Linked DNA regions of Nothobranchius furzeri. The protein of the gene in region 1 purifies or fractionates together with the protein of each later gene. This does not show direct contact. Links are inferred from orthologs where the notes say so. Each region holds a gene or a part of one and is shown on either strand. Other genes may lie near its edges. The genes, in order: katnip and cilk1.

Region 1 (9,129 bases):
TATAACAGGATTGTAAAAGAAGACCTATTCAGACCTGGAAAATCAGAATCGGGAAGAATAATCTCTTTAATTTAAGCATAAAGAGACACTTTAAAAGGTGAAATGACTCACTCTGATCATCCCAGCTGTCTTTAGAAGGAGGCCTATCTAATGTTTTGCTCTTGACCAACAGAGGCTTAGTGGGTATGAAGGGGTCAACACTTTCATTCCTCTTGGCAGACAGAGAACGTTCAAGTTTACGACCTGCAGCAGATAGAGGACGCGTTCGCTAATAAAACCAGACATTAGACCTATAGCTGTCGAACAGCTGGTATGATTGCTTAGTTTAGTCAATGTTGAGGAGAAGATCCTTAAAGACTACCTTTAGGTGAGGGGCCAAAGTCCAGAACAATGAGGTTTGCGGAGTCAAAATGGCCGTGACTCCCGCCTGTCCGAGAATGAGTGGAGGACTTGGAGGAGGAAAGAGGCAGCCCAAGTTCATCCAGACTCTCGGTGCTCTCATCCCTCTCAATCTGCTCCTCTACCCACTCCTCGTCGGACTCCTCCCCTGCTGAGCCGCTGCTGCTCCGTCGCATGCTAACCTCCAGGCTCCGACGCAACACCTAGCATACAAAGAGACAGTTTTTATTCATGCATCAGTGCTCACACAGGCGCAAATACACAAGAGAGGGGACATGAGTGTAGGGATTTCCCTGACCTCTGTGAGTAGATCTGAAATCATCACTTAACACCAGGCAGCATCACAGTAACATGTGAAACTCACCAAATCTTAAGGTCATGGGTGGTTTTCCTCTCACCTTCACTTCCTCGAGGTTGAGGAGCACCTTCTCGCTGTGCTCCTGGTTGCCCTGGTCTTCCTGGCACTCAGCTCTGGAGCTGAAGGAGCGAGAAACCCTGCAGGCGTCTCTTTGACTCCGAGGACTACATGGCGAGCGCAGACTAGAGCGCTGTAGCAAACATGGAGAAAGAGAAATAAGGAAAGGGGAGAGACAGAGAGGTGTTAGGAGAGTTGCGTGTGACACACAGCTCCTCCCCTAAAACGACAAAACCCACACACAGTGTCTTGGCAGGAATTGTCACTCTACCTCCATGTTCACACTTTCATAAGCCTCAAAATCGTCAGAGTAGCACGTCGCTGGAGATATTTCCAAACTTGGGCCATGCTCGGTTTGAATTTTAACACAACCCTGCACACATCAGATAAGAAGATATTGTTACTACATGCACTTATATGTATTTTTATATAAAACAACAAATTAAGACATCAAAGCTCTTTACCTGCACCCATTCTTTCCTCTGGACCTTTGCTGGAGCAGTCTGGCTCCTCTTCCTGCCCGACTGATCCGGATTACGGCTATCTTCAGTTAGATGGTGGGCGCTTATCCAGAAATCTGAGGATGAGTCACAGCACAGAAAGGAACATGAGCAACTCGCTGCAGACTATAGCCTCAGAGGAGAGAAAACACTAAACTCGTACATGCAGATGGTCCACAGCACATAAAGGAAGCACCAGAAGAAAGCTGGCAGCTACAACTGTCACTATTGTTTAATCACTGAGACCGGGCATGGACTCACACAAAACAAGCAGCAGAGCGGTGGCAATTAGCTCATGCTCCATATGCTTTACACACGACAGAGGGACCTGCAGCTTTTAGCACAATCCCAAAGCACAAGCTCATAAATAACTAATGAAAGTATAATCAAGGTCTTACATAGGAGCAAACATTTACACTCGCCTAGCTGCATACCGGCTGTGCGTGCAGGCCTCCCGGCTGGCTGAGGGGCCTCTGGCTTGTTTTTGGGGTTCTTGAGCTGCTTCCTACTGGACTCAGCATTAGCGCCGTTCAGATAAATTGAGAAGCCTTGCTCCAGCTGCTCCAATTCGATCTCTCTTGGATTTTTCACTCTGAGGCGCTTTAGGATTCTGCAAAGCATAAATGAAAATGTAAATAAATAATGCTATATGCTGTATCTGATGAAGAAAAGTCTAAAAATGTTTTCGCTAAATTCAACCAAACATTTTCAAATGTATGCTTTTACTATTTTAAATAAAAACGTGTTTTTCCTCTAAACAAAAGCACCAAACTAAACAGAGCTTCAAACTGTTAGAAAACAAAACTGTGATGCATTTCCTCTGTGAAATCCAATCAGTCCATCTGCAGCAGCCTGTGCTCACACACACGTCACCTGTTTTTGTGCTGGAGGTCAATTAAATATTCATCCAGAGTGTCATCTCCGGCAGAGGCAGGCTTCTCTCCTCGGTACGTCTCACTCTCCTTCACACGCGCGCGCGCACACACACACACACACACACACACACACACACACACACACACACACACACACACACACACACACACACACACACACACACACACACACACACACACACACACACACACACACACACACACACACACACACACACACACACACACACACACACACACACACACACACACACACACACACACACACACAGAGTCAGGAAAGCATAGAGGAAAGAAACTTCCTAATGAACACACAAATGTATTTACAACCTATACCAACATAATTCTACGCACCACAACATTCATGCATGCAAAATGCTCCTCTAGATGTGTAAACAAAGCTTCAGTTAAAGTTATGTAAAGTGACAAGTTGTCACGTTTGTTAGAAATATCACAAAATCTATGTATGAATGAAAAAAAATTAAATAAATCCAAGCCACAACTGCTTTTTCTCAACCATCAATACTTGTTTATTTTTCAACTGAGCCTTTTTGTTGTAATATAGCCCTGTTATGTGCTACTTAGGTTAAGCAGTGACTGTGCAGTAATTTGAACTACAACTTCTGTTTCCTGCAGTAATTTATCTCTAGATAGACAAATGTGGTCTTTGTGATTTGACTCCAAACCAGAAAAGTGTTGGTGCAGCTTCGCAACTAAATCCATAAAATGATTGTTGACAAATGTCAGAATGAAAATCATGTGTGTTTATGTGTACATCAACACACCTAAACTAAGGTAACCAGATTGTGTAATCATTTAGATGAACTTGATGTATCATTATGCAATTTGCATACAATGCTAAATTAAAATAATCATCAGTCATTATCCCTCCAGATGCATCTGAGCGTACAAAACACAAGCCTCTTTAAAAGGAGCATCAGTCGTCTGTACAATGCAGCCACTCGTGCAGTTCCATTACTTTCAGTACAGGTGAAACTCGAAAAATTTAGAATATAGTGCAAATGTTCATTTATGCTTTAAAGGTGAAGTGAGGTGGACTCATTATGTGCAAAGCCAGACATTTCACACCTTTATTTGTTATAACTGTGATGATAATGGATTACAGCTGATGAAAACCCTACATTCAAAATCTCAGACAATTAGAATATTGTGAAAAGGTTCAATAAAGTGCCACACTCTAATCAGATGATCAATCCAAAACACGTGCAAAGGGTTCCTGAGCCTTTACATGGTCTCTCAGTCTAAAGCAAAATACTAAAATAAATTAATTTTGCACCATATTCTTGTTTTAGAGTTTCATCTGTATTCATGCGTGACAAATAAATAAAAAGAAATTACAAAGCTCTTACTGAAGTATTTACAAGTCAACTAGGATGTCAGTTTCAGGAGCAGAGAAGAGAGAAAGATGTGAAGAAGCAGGAAAATGCTGGTTAGTGATAGATCCCTGAGACACATCATGTGGAATCACTTAATCCTTTCAATAGTGGATTTTATGGAATGAGGTATGACATGAAAAGCACTGCTGACAGAGGCCGTTACATGAAACTCATCTCTTACTTTTTTCTCCATGGCGTGCTGCAGGGACTCATCTGAAAACACTATCCCATCTTTTGAAGAGAGATTATGTGACTCCCAGTTGAGTTTGATCCTCTCTGCAGCATGACACACAAACGCAGCTTCAAGATTGCTTGACACATCTTAAAGGACTTGTTTAATTTCGCCACACCCGACAAAAACATCGCAGCACCAGGTTGTGATTACATGACATCATCTCGTGTAGCACATCTGTTCAAGGTTTTTCCACAAACCCCCATTTGTTAGCAAGTGCACCTTTAAACATCAGAATCAGAAGGGTTTTATTGTCATATGTGCGAGAATCACAAAGAAATTAGGTGCTACTTGGTGGAAGAAAAGATAAATGACGAGCAAACATTTGAATTACGAAATAAACCCAGTGAACATACGTGCAGTTAGCGTAAGACAGCGCCTGGCATTTGATTTTGTCATTAAAAGCTAGCACGTTGATCGCTGGAGATGGGCCGATGGGCTTTTTCTTTATCGTGTCCTTTTTCCTTCTTTAAACCCGCAAAGTGTTGCTAGAGGCTAATCTAGCTCGCGTTGTAGCCAATGCAACATTAGCAACCTCGCGCTAAAGCTAACAACAAACCGATACGCTAATGAGTTAGCATGCATCCGTTTTACGTGACTAGATGTTTACATATGTAATGAAAAATAGTGACGTTACTCATATGTACATTTTTTCACAAATTACAAGACATACTTACAGTACTCCTAAAGAGTTGCATTATTAGTGTGTAAAAAAAATCGTATTTACCGATGGATTTACCCAATGTTGGAGGATTTCCTCCTGTGAGTTGTGTTGCTCGGTAACCAGGGGAGCTCTCCACCAATCAGGAGAGCTGAGGCAGCGAAGGACACGCCCCATCCGGACATACCTATGCCCTCTAACTCACCATTCAATTAAAAAAAAAAAAGGTGCGAAAAATACAATAAAGGCACACAGGTTTCCATGGCAAAAAAAATCAACACTGTTTTTATTTATTATAAATCAGTACATTTCTTATAAAAACAAAATAAAAGGGGATGAAATAAAACCATTTTAGATGTTTAATTAGATAGTGGCCACCCACTTCCATTCAACCCAAGTCACAGTCTGTTGACTAACCAGCAGGACTAACTAGCTCATTCCAAAACACCCTTGCTTATAATGATCAATCTACAATTTGGATACGCTTCAAATGGTAATATTGTGGTTAACAACAATCTCGGCAAAGCATTCCAAGTACAGCAAATTAGCATGCCATTAGTTTCTGTGCAATTCATTGCAACCATTGCCAGCAGCAGTACTTGCATTATTTGTGACGTGTGCACACATATTTTGAGTGTCTAGCAGTCGAAGGACGTAAAGACTAAAACTCCTGCAGTACAACAAAAGCTCTGTGAGGTGCCCAGGCTTAATGCAGTTTAGGCATCCCTCTGTAACAATTACCCAAATTTTTGATACAAAATTCCATTATTAAAATGAACGAGGCAGCTGAGAAAAGCCAACCTCATTCAGTTGCATACATTAAAACTGTTTGTTGAAAGAAGGCGGACATGAAAATGGTAGATGTTGCGGGAGCAACACATTCTCACACCCAAGGCGTCATAATATGACGTGTGTGACCAAGTCTCAATATATGACGATTCGGGACGCCCCAGTGCGTCAGGAGACGACGATCAGGGACACGCTGGGTCACGTGGCTCCGCTGGCGTCACTGTTTGACGCGCGCTGTCACACGGACGTTATTCGACTATTTAACCTTCCCGTCACCCCGATCCTAATCTTAAGGCCCATAAACTGTGACCTTAAGGTTAGGACTGGGGTGAGGGGAAGGTTAAGTAGTTCACAAGTACTTCTAATGTCCGTCTCACCACCGGCGTCGGACACCGACGCTCTGGGACGCTGCGTCAGTTGTTTGTCCCTGATCATAGTCTCCTGACATGCTGGGGCGTCCCGAATCGTCATATATTGAGGCTTGGTCACACGCGTCGTATTTTGACGCCTTGGGTGTGAGAATGTGTTGGCGGGTCATGGGAAAGCACAGAAGCTGCTCACTGTTCAGGTAGCACTCAAAAGTCAAAGAACACTGAATACTGGAGACAAGAACAACCAACTGGGATTTAAAAGTACTCAAACTGATAAAAGTATGCCAAAGTAACTGTAATTTGTATTTTTTTAAATGCCCCTATGACTGAATTATAATGTCCTTTTCCTACTATCTGTGGGCCAATCATGATAAACTCACCCTTGCTACACGGACACATAAAACCATCCACTCACTGATTCACCATCTCATTTTTGTCACTTTGAATTGATTTTAAAAAGGTAGTTAAGACATGATTTCCCTTCTTCATTAGAAACGACCCCCTTGAACAAATTATATCTACCATGTTTCAAGATTAAATCTGCTCACGGCTTTCTGCTGCCCATTCACTGAGCTAACTCTGATGGGTTGTGGTAGGTAGGTGTATGTATGTATGTATATATATATATATATATATATATATATATATATATAAACATCAACCACATTCTTAAAACGCAATGGATGGGGGAAAAGTAAACCAATAACTTAAATAGAAGTGCTTAAAACAACAGTTCATAGAGCCCTTTCAACAAAATAAAGCATAGCAGTAATCCCATCCCAACATACCAGGAGAGATAACTGAATAACTGAAATGATAATACTAATATTCATCCAATGATTCCCACATGTACAGTTCACATATAGAGCATATCCTCTCCCCCGAGAGCAAATATGGTTTCTGGTCAGTGCCCCCCCCATGTCTGTGAGCCACGGCTCCCCTCAGTTTCAAGTCTATCTGTGGTAGGAGGACAATCCGTCTCCGTACACCTCCCTCCTTCTTCCTCCTTTGCCTTCAGTGCCTGCTCCTCCTCTCTTTTCCTGCGCTCCAACTCCCACTCCACAAAAGTGTCAAAGAGGCTGGGCCAGGCCTCGTCCTCACTGTAGTTGCTGAGGTCAGACCCAATGGCCTGGGTGAAGTTGAGGAACATGTTCCACGTGTCCCTGGAGATGCCCCGAATACCGGAGGGGTTCTCGGCTAGAAACTCCAGCCAGCGTTCCAGAATCTCCGGAGTGTCTTGTGTGAAAACCAGTCGCCATAGTGCGATGGCAATTTCCCGCTGAAGCGACCGTTGGCCCTCTTCGGCGTCCAGACCGAACTGGAAGGTGAAACGGTAAAGGTCCTTGAAGTTCTCTTCAACCTGGGCTTCCAGCAGCATGTAAGTGAAGCGTGAGCAGATGCCCTCAATACTGTCCGCCCTGATGGCCTTGCAGCCCTCAACAAACTCTTTCCTGATGACATAAAAACAGGATCAGATGTCACAATGGGTATTCAGAATTACAGTAAAATGTCATTTACAGCAGTTCTGTGAGATCTGCAAAACCAAACTTGCCCAGTGGTGTTTAAAAATATCAAGTAGATGAGCTTATCTGCTCAACTTCAACAGCGGTCTGGGATTTTCAACATCAAGTGTCATACAAAATGCTTACGCCAGCATTGCTTAACAATGAAACATATGTTGCATTGTCCAAACACTTCGGAGTGAAAAGTGCAGAGTTTAAAATCAAAGAGAGTGGGGGGGAGCAGAAACAAATGACTCAGCCACAAACGGAGCGCTATTCAGTGACAGCAGGCAGAATGGGGCTCTGGAGCAGGACACACTTCCTGTATGACCTGACTGTGGGGTTTTGTGTGTACGGCTAGCTTTCTATGAACAAGTTAGCAAACATTTAAGATTAGAGGGAACGATAAACTGGTTCTCACGCAGATCCAAAGGGCAGTGTGTGGAAAGACTTGATTTTAGAGTTATGGGAAAACAATTTTTGGATAAGAGGAGTGGCCAAAGGTTTTGTTGCTGTGCAAGTACCGAGGTGTGTTTAACCTACGGTGTTTTTCCATTGTCGGAACTTCAGGGTAAATTCTGGGAGGGGGAAACTGACCGGGAGATAAGATGTCCCGGTCCTCCCAGGTGTTGTGTCTCCATGCAGATTTAGCTCTTTCAGGACTTTGCACAGGCGTCAGCATATCGCAACTTATTTTGCAGTCAGTGATGTCATTGATCAGCTCCAAAAAGCATCCTCAGTAACATTAAAAGTTTTACTCTGTCAAAGTACAACCTAATTTAATCCATTCAGAGGATGAGAGCAGCTGCGTGAGGTAAAAAACAGAAGAAGCTTGGTTTTTTTACGCTGCGATGCGAGACAAAAAAGCCCAGTGAACTATATCATCAGTCGGAGCTTCTTTTCTTTTGCTTCCATTCTGCTTCACAAGCAGCTCTTCTAATCTTACTAATGCCAGTTGTTTTGGACGACGTCTGATGATGTAATTTCCTACAGAGTTACAACCAATCAGTGTGAGTTGACGAAGGAGGGGTGCCCAATCCTGGTCCTGGAGGGCCGGTATCCTGCAGGTTTTGGTTTTAACTCTGCTTCAGCACACCTGATTTCAATCTGCAGGTAATTAACAGGCTTCTACAGAGCTTGATGAGCTGCTGCACAGGTGATTCAACCTCTGAATCAAGTGTTTTGGAGCAGAAAAACAACAAAACCTGCTGGATACTGGCCCTCCGGGACCAGGATTTAGCACCCCTGCTCTAGCGGGCCCTTCCGAGTACCTACCCCTGTTTATTTAATCTGTTGGTTATTTGTTTGTTGAAAATTATCCATAAAATGGCCGTTTGGCTGGCCGGCCCGGTGAAACGGAGACAAGCACATGCTGTTGAGTTACGGTAAAATTACCCCGAAGCTCCGGTAGTGGAAATACGCTTCAAAATTTTAATTTGGTGGTGAAAAAGTGAAAGTAAATCCAAGTGCAACAACAGATTTGGTGCAACCCCATCCCTTCCAAAACCCTGTTGTACCTTGTGAACTTGCACATAGTAGCTGCTTGAAACTTCCAGGCGAGAACAAGAACACGGAACTCTGCGGGGTCCACACACAGATCGTTACAAAACTTTTCCATGCCCTCCTCCAGGATGGCATCTTCCTGTTCATCCTTGTAGCGTCCGAAAAGCTCCTCGATACGCAGCATGGACAGCCCGTCTTTATCCAGACATTCGTCCTTGCACGGATCCCTCATCACTGTGGAGATGATGGTCGTCTCCGCAGTAGCCTCTAAGGCTTTGGTGCCATTCAATTGTTCACTGGATTTGCAAGATGGGGCACTGGAATCTTCCTTGTGACTGCCCCCACTAGCACTTTCAACTCTCTTGTGGGACTTCGAGCTGCTCTCTTTGTCTCCACTCTTGCTGCCGAGCGAGGACGTCGGATTCTTACACTTGGTGACACACTGGCCCATGTCTTCCCTCCTG
Region 2 (7,128 bases), on another chromosome or scaffold:
ACACTGAGGGGCTGCATTCACAATCCAATATTTTACATCACACAGCATCCATAATACACACAATAAACCAAACGTATTGCTGTAGAGCATTTATGTACAGATCAGAATTTAAAAACAACTACTCTTTGGAAGTGAGAGAGTTTGTAAGAATACAAATAGCCGCTAGCGGTGTCCGTATTTGGCTGACCAGTCTGTTCGTCCATGAATGGTCTGTAGCGGCGGGCGAGGCAGCAGACTGGAGCTGCTCTTGTTGGCTGTCGGCACGCCGGCCGATGGGTTCATGTGGCTCCGGCCAGACCGCCAAGTTGCATAATCTAAAAAAATAAATAAATAAGTGTAGGGAAACAGTTTGTGAAGGGTCATCAGACAGAAGCAAAAACAGATATTAGAGCTCACTTGTTTCCATGGAAACACCCTGACGGCCTCTGCTGTGACCAACTGAGCCGTTGTCTTTCTTGTAAAATGATGGCATGTAATCACCTGGGATCGTATTTGTGCCTGATGAGCAAAAATAAAATAAAATTAAATTAAAATGTTGGGTTGAATCTTGCTGACCGTGATATGTCGTAACCGGGCCTTTCCACGGATGTGTTAATGTTGCTTAACGTTCTCGAAAGGTAGTGCGCAGCAATTAGCCACCGTTAGAGTTAATGGGTCCGTTTCCCCCGCCTGCGAAGCGTCACGTCGTGTTTTGGATGCATCCCAGAAGTGTGACGTTCAGCTTCGCTAAATTCACTCAGAGTAAGGTGCTGCGCTTCCAGTTCGGAAGAGACAGGAAGTCAAACACAGAAGCAGTGTAAAACATCCTTAAAATTTCTAAATAAAAGTGTGCAGATTTCCAGTCTCTGAATAATGAAAAAAAAAAACTACATCATTACCTGTAAACAGAACAGATAATAAATCACATTGATACATTGCGCCGTCCTTCTCTTTGCTCGTTATAGCGTGAACTGCCAAAGTCCTGAACGGTCTTGCAATTCTCTGGTGATTTTGTGACCTTGCAGGACCAACAGCGTGGAAAGCATTCGCTGCAGTTTCATACCTGAAATGCTCCCGGTGGGAATGTGCGTGCTGCTGAGTTTGTGGGGAAGACATCATCACGCTCTGCTTACACTACGCGCCACATTACGCACCCGGTAGAAAAGCAAGGTAATGGTTACAACGATGTTACCATGAGCTCCTCTGCTTGGCAGGGTCCCTCCAAACGGAATACTGCTGCTGCCACAATAATGGCTTCCTGGGAATTCTTTACTGGCATTCATGGCTACGTTCTTCTTAGTACTGATGCCTGAAGGAGACAAGAAGAGATTACTGACCAATATTTATTAAAATCACAAATAAAAAAGAAGCGTATAATACCAGGTAGATATCTGGACTGCCTCAGGTAATGCTGCTTGGCAGAGGCCGTTCTTGATGGCTCTTGATAGGCTGCGGTCTTGTTCAGGTTTAAAGGTGCATCTTCTTTTCCGCTGCGTCGACTGAAATCCAGAACAGTTCCAAACCTGCAGAGAAGCAAACCAGTCGTAGATTTATGTTTTTTAAACACTTCGTACATAACCCGAGTGATCAGTAGCATCACCTGCTCAGAGAGTCGTCTCCTTGTCTCGACTTCTCTGATGAGAAGTTAGGTTTTCCAAGGATACTGATGGAGTACGGATCAGTCTCCTCGTAGTTGTCCCAGTCTTCTCCTTTAACGTGTCCAGCTGCATGTCCCCAACGCCGCCGCCCTCCTTTAGGCTTCAGCTGATAGCCAAGCAGGCTTAAATTGTGTACATCCTGCTGCGTTTGCTACAAAACAAACATCAACCACGGGTGTTAGACAAGCTCAGAATATCCCAAAAGGCTTCCTTCCATAAAAACGTGAAAGGTTTCCACACCTTTTCCTGGTGGCCCTTGTCTACGATGTAAGGGAGACGGCGCTGAGGGGTTCCCTCCATCTGCTCCTGTTTCAGGATGTGCTTTGGCTGCTGCTGCTCCCGAACCAGCTCCGTGTGCCGCTGGTAAGCTGCCGGCTGGGCAGCTGCTGGTGCAGGGGAGGTCTGGATCTGATGGAGCGGCCTGGAGGGAGGGCTGTGCTGGTTAGAAGGCGGAGGCTGGGAGGGGGGCACTGGCTTCAACAGCAGAGGCTGCTGCTGCTGCGTCTGTAAGGGCGTCTGCAGATGCACGAGGCCGAGCTGAGGTCTGCCCTGATCCAGGATCTGCTGAGGAGTTCCCAAAGCCTGGCCCACGTGGAAGTAGGAGTACCTGAGAGCCTTTAAAAAACGATTAGAGCAAGCAGAGTTAGCTTTTATTGAGTCTGCCTGGACGTGAGAGCAGTATGGATGCTACCTGAGCAGAGGCTGGTCTCTTCTTGGGATCCCACTGAAGCAGGTCCATCATCAGATGGATGGCGTCAGGACTGGCATTTGGGATCAATGTCTTCAGATTATTGGGAACGCACTGAGGCCAGCGAAAATTCATGGCACTCGCCAGCTGGTATCCCTCGGCCCAATCATTCTAAAAGGAGAAAAACGTTTGAAGAACGTTTTATTCCACTTTTAACAGAGTTCAACTTATAAACTTGCTTGAATGTTGTCACTTTTCTTGTTTTTTATTTTATTTCATTGATCGTATCACCACCTTCTTTGGTGTCCCCAGGACTTGGCAAATCTTGAATATGGTGTCAACTTCGCTTGATCCGGGGAAAAGAGGCCTGAGCGTGTAAAGCTCCGCCATGATGCAGCCGACTGCCCACTGGTCTATGGGCGAGTTGTAGGATGTGGATCTGAGCAGCACCTCTGGAGCTCTGTACCTGGTCCAGAAACAAAACATCCTTTCATTTGAGCTAAAGCAGGTACGTATGAAGGACTCTTCCTGCCCTAACAGTAAATAATGTGTATTTATTTCCAAATATATTTATTAAAAACAAAATTTATTTCATTAATTTAGGATACAACTTTATTTCCTTCTTTCCTAATTGATAGATTTATTTCTTAAAATTAATATTTTTCAGTTTTTTTATTTTTATTTAGAAATGCATTTATTTATTTTCACTGTTATTTCCTCTTATATTTAATCTTTTCAATTATTGCCACATTAATTTGTTTAATATTTAATTTAACTCTTTCCTCATATATTATTTGTCCATTTTTATTTCCACATTCATTTATTCACAATTTTATTTCCTCATTTATTGATTTATTCCCCCCAAAATTTTTATTTACTTATTTCCATTGGTATTTCTTCATGTGTTTATTTGTACTATTTCTTAATGTATTTATTTATTGTCTATTTTGGCAGTGAAAGTCCTCCACAGGTATGCGTTATGTTTACAACAGGAGCTCAGGAGCTAGAGAGGGTTGTCCAATAATAGGAAGGTTGCAGGTTTGATCTCGGCTCCCACCATAGAATGCTGTTGTGTCCTTGGGCAAGACACTTAACCCGCCTTGCCTGCTGGAGGTGGTCGGAGGGACCGGTGGTGCCTGCGTACGGCAGACTCAACTCTCTCAATGCGCCCCAGGTCAGCTGAGCTGTGGCTACATCGTAGCTTATCCCCACCAGCGTGTGAATGTGTGTGGATGACTGATTGTGTTGTGAAGCGCCTTGGGGGGTTGTAGACCCCTAAGAAGGCGCTATACAAATACAGGCCATTTACAACTCACCATCTAGTTGAGACGTAGTCTGTGTACGGTGGTCGAGATCTGATCTCGCGGGCGAGTCCAAAGTCGGCTATCTTCACCAGCTCTGGACCCATGCACAGAAGATTCTCCGGTTTCATGTCCCTGTGGAAAAACCCTGGTGGAGACACAATACATCATCATCCTCCTCACTCCGATGGGACTAACCGTTATGGGCTCGACACACGGGAGGCGACATCGCCTCTCCTCCATTCATTTTCAATGAGACATGCGCGACAAAGCGATAATCGCGGGTCTCCCTCCCACCAAGCGAAACGCGAAAAACGTGCGTGTGAAAGTTTGCACTCGTGCACGTGTCGTGCACGTGCGACCCAGCAACGCGATCCCAGAAAGTTGAAACATTTTCAACTTTTCATCGCTGTCGCTTGGGCGAGGACCAATCAACGGAGGTTTCATTCACTGACCAATGAGCGGACAGGATGCTCCGCACTTCTCCGAGCAAACATGGAGGAGAAGTTGATTATTATTATGTTTTATAGTAAAATCAGAAGTAAGATTTCACATAACTCTAGCAGCACCTTGTGAAACATCATATCTACCACTTTATTAACTCTGAACCGCTTAAATAACCTTAATTCCCTCCAACCTGACACAGCCAAACAAAACAACGGAAGTTTGGATTTCGTCATGGAACAGAACGCGTAGACGGCTTTGCCGCTGGCCGCTGCCGCGGATCGCCTCCCGTGTGACAGGTAATAAAAGCGACAGCGACAAATTTCGCTGATCGCGGTCGTTTGTCGCCTCCCGTGTGTCGAGCCCATTAGTCGTACCACGACTGAGAAGCATCCGCACCATGTTTGTGGATAAATGCGAGTCCCTGCAGGATCTGAAACATAATATTTCTGATGGCAGATTCAGGAAACAAACGTGCTCTAGAGCAAGAAAAGAGAAAACAATTTAGAAAACATCGAGCTTTTTCCTCAAATGTGCATAAATTGTGCAAAAACGCCAAAATGTACACACCTATCTTTCATTAGCTGGTATAAGTTCTCCTTCATGTACTCAAATATAAAGTACAAGTGATCATTTTCTCGAATGACCTCCTTTAGTTTGATCACATTTGCATGATTGAGTTTCTTTAGTGACTGAAAGAATAAAGAAACAGGTTGTGTAAGAAATGTACAAACAGGAAGTAAAGGCGGGAGTAAATAATTGAATCTTGACCATGCTGGAGGGAGAGCAAACAGGTCACATTCAAAGGCACGCTCTACCTACAGCTATCCATACCATTATTTCTTGGGTAAATTCAAGAAAATAGTGAAGTTTATTGGGGGGAAAATGCTGCAAAAGAGGGATTTGCTCTTGAAAATTGAAAAGGTAGCGGGATGCACCGGGATGATGAATGTTCAACCATGCTACAGTTTTAGTCAAAAGGGAGAAGCTGAAAAAAGGCTTTGAGAGCCAACAGTGACATGCTGTAATTGTGAACTACTCAGCAGGACCCTCAGCATGTTTATGTTTTGCTACAATAAGACCAAGCTCTACAAAGAAAGGATCAGGTGGTCATGTGGACCAGGAGCTAAAATAAAAACAAGAATCACCTTCTGCTCTGTGTGCTGGTGGGAGGAAATCTGAACAGTAACATATTAAACTGGTATGGGGAAAAATGTACTGAATTATTTGTCAACTAATAACATCACACACAAATCAGCATTTGTATATTTCATGATGAATTAAGTTCATAAATTAAAATAATGACTAAAGCGATGCCCATCAACACTCTTGATTAGTGGTGCCCACAAACGGTGGCTGGGGGGCATTGCCACCCCTAGAAATTTCTCTGGCAGCACCACTGATTGTGACAGGTAAATTTGTACCGTTTATGGTAAAACCAAGGTTAATGATACGGGTAACATTTTTGTTTTGTCTGGTTTATTTTCTCATATGACTGGTGAAACTTACCTTGACTTCTCGAAGGTTCATGCATTCTTCCCAAGAGTAGAACTTTCGTTTCATTCTGGAAAATACAGATTTCTATTGAATTACCTCTAATCATTGCTTCATGTTGCTGCACAGCATCTCTTCTACATGTCATTAGGTAAATTAGAAAGTCAGCACACAATGCTGCACAGATCACAAGCTCTTAAAAAATGAGGAAGTTGCCAAATACTCACTTCTTTATAGCAACCAGCTCTCCTGACTCCAGACTGCGGCCGAGGCTGACCGATCCATAGGTGCCATCCCCGAGCTGCCTGATGGTGTTGTATCTATTCATTGTGCATGTCCTCTCATATTTTTCCTCAAGGCAAGACAAGAATTAGGAGGAAAAATGGACGTGTTCAGCTCCTACTGCTGAGTGCAACCAGATTTTCCTGTGACAAATGCAGAAGACCGTGGGCTGAGCTGGAGGACTCATGGTGTCACAAACGTCCCTCCTTCATGGTGAATGGATCCAAAAATAAAACAAGAACTAATGTTAGTTTTCCATGATTACTACCGAGCACAAGCTACTAATAAATGTGCATCTCCTCAGTAGTTGCTTGTGAGTTTCAAAAGAACCATTAAACTCATTTAAAGTTTAAATAAATTATCCAAATGCTTGCACCATTTTTGACAAAATTTATGAAAGAAAAACTGCCAGTTTCTACTTATAGTTATAGATTTTTTTTCGGTTTTTAATACGAAATTATGGAAAATATATGATTATACTTTTCATATTACCACCAAAAAAAGCTGAGATCATACATTTATCCTAATTTTCTTTGGTAGTTGTTGACTGGGAGTATTTTTCCACATTTTATTGTTGTTACAACTTTTTAGGACAATAAAAAAACACCAATCACAATTAAGGTAAATGTGCCTAAAAAAAGCTCAAAGCATCATGGGTGATACAGTAAATACAGATAATCAGATGTGTTACTAAAACCTACCAGGCTGTTTGATGCTAAACTTTGGCATGTAAGTAAAGCAGATACTAACCGCACCGTAGCATTTTCTGATAAAAACAGCGATGCAGAGACAACCGTTGTCTAGCAGGGATGATCCTAACTGACACCCAATAAAAGGAGCGACATAAAACTCACCTGTCTGCTTCTAACCGACAACACCTATCCCGACATTTGTATAGTCGATGTTTAGCTACGTGCTTTTAAAAAGTAGTGTATTCAATTAATCTCTTTATAAACATCCCAGATGTCCACGACTGAACGTCAATTATCAAACAGCCAGGCCCTTCCGTCGGAGAGCTCCACAAAATCTCGCGTTATTACAAAAAACCGTTGTTTCCCTGTTTTCTCACTACAAATCACAGCTTTCCTCAGGCGGGAAATAAACAAGCATGCCTTTGTGTACTTTGTGTCCCGCACAACGGCACGTTTTAAAATACAGAGGTTGGATCTTGGGTGGTTATTCAGATTTTTCACATTTATTTAGTATTTTCTTGATTTTTTCATCCCTTTTTGAGGGACCAGAAACAATGTAACACTCCGTTCCAGGATAGCTGCCAAAACGC

Evidence for each region.
Region 2: the proteins of katnip (region 1) and cilk1 purify together in Homo sapiens (affinity purification with mass spectrometry; 3 studies listed by BioGRID and IntAct, with this or other methods). This does not show direct contact. The link is inferred for Nothobranchius furzeri from reciprocal best matches to the Homo sapiens genes KATNIP and CILK1.

Annotation. Positions count from the first base shown.
Region 1 is NC_091756.1:31,628,949-31,638,077, reverse strand, and holds the start of katnip (katanin-interacting protein), read right to left. Parts: upstream 4,466-9,129; 5' UTR 4,239-4,465; coding exon 4,196-4,238; intron 3,884-4,195; coding exon 3,789-3,883; intron 2,277-3,788; coding exon 2,188-2,276; intron 1,925-2,187; coding exon 1,749-1,924; intron 1,392-1,748; coding exon 1,279-1,391; intron 1,188-1,278; coding exon 1,086-1,187; intron 948-1,085; coding exon 798-947; intron 603-797; coding exon 362-602; intron 244-361; coding exon 112-243; intron 1-111. Other genes in the region: dcun1d3 (DCN1-like protein 3), read right to left, coding at 6,565-7,111, 8,680-9,116. UniProt on the Homo sapiens protein: May influence the stability of microtubules (MT), possibly through interaction with the MT-severing katanin complex.
Region 2 is NC_091752.1:23,718,172-23,725,299, reverse strand, and holds the start of cilk1 (serine/threonine-protein kinase ICK), read right to left. Parts: upstream 6,847-7,128; 5' UTR 6,701-6,846; intron 6,053-6,700; 5' UTR 5,893-6,052; coding exon 5,792-5,892; intron 5,635-5,791; coding exon 5,580-5,634; intron 4,763-5,579; coding exon 4,641-4,762; intron 4,550-4,640; coding exon 4,470-4,549; intron 3,775-4,469; coding exon 3,642-3,774; intron 2,792-3,641; coding exon 2,620-2,791; intron 2,497-2,619; coding exon 2,329-2,496; intron 2,253-2,328; coding exon 1,878-2,252; intron 1,789-1,877; coding exon 1,580-1,788; intron 1,503-1,579; coding exon 1,360-1,502; intron 1,289-1,359; coding exon 1,172-1,288; intron 499-1,171; coding exon 397-498; intron 315-396; coding exon 163-314; 3' UTR 1-162.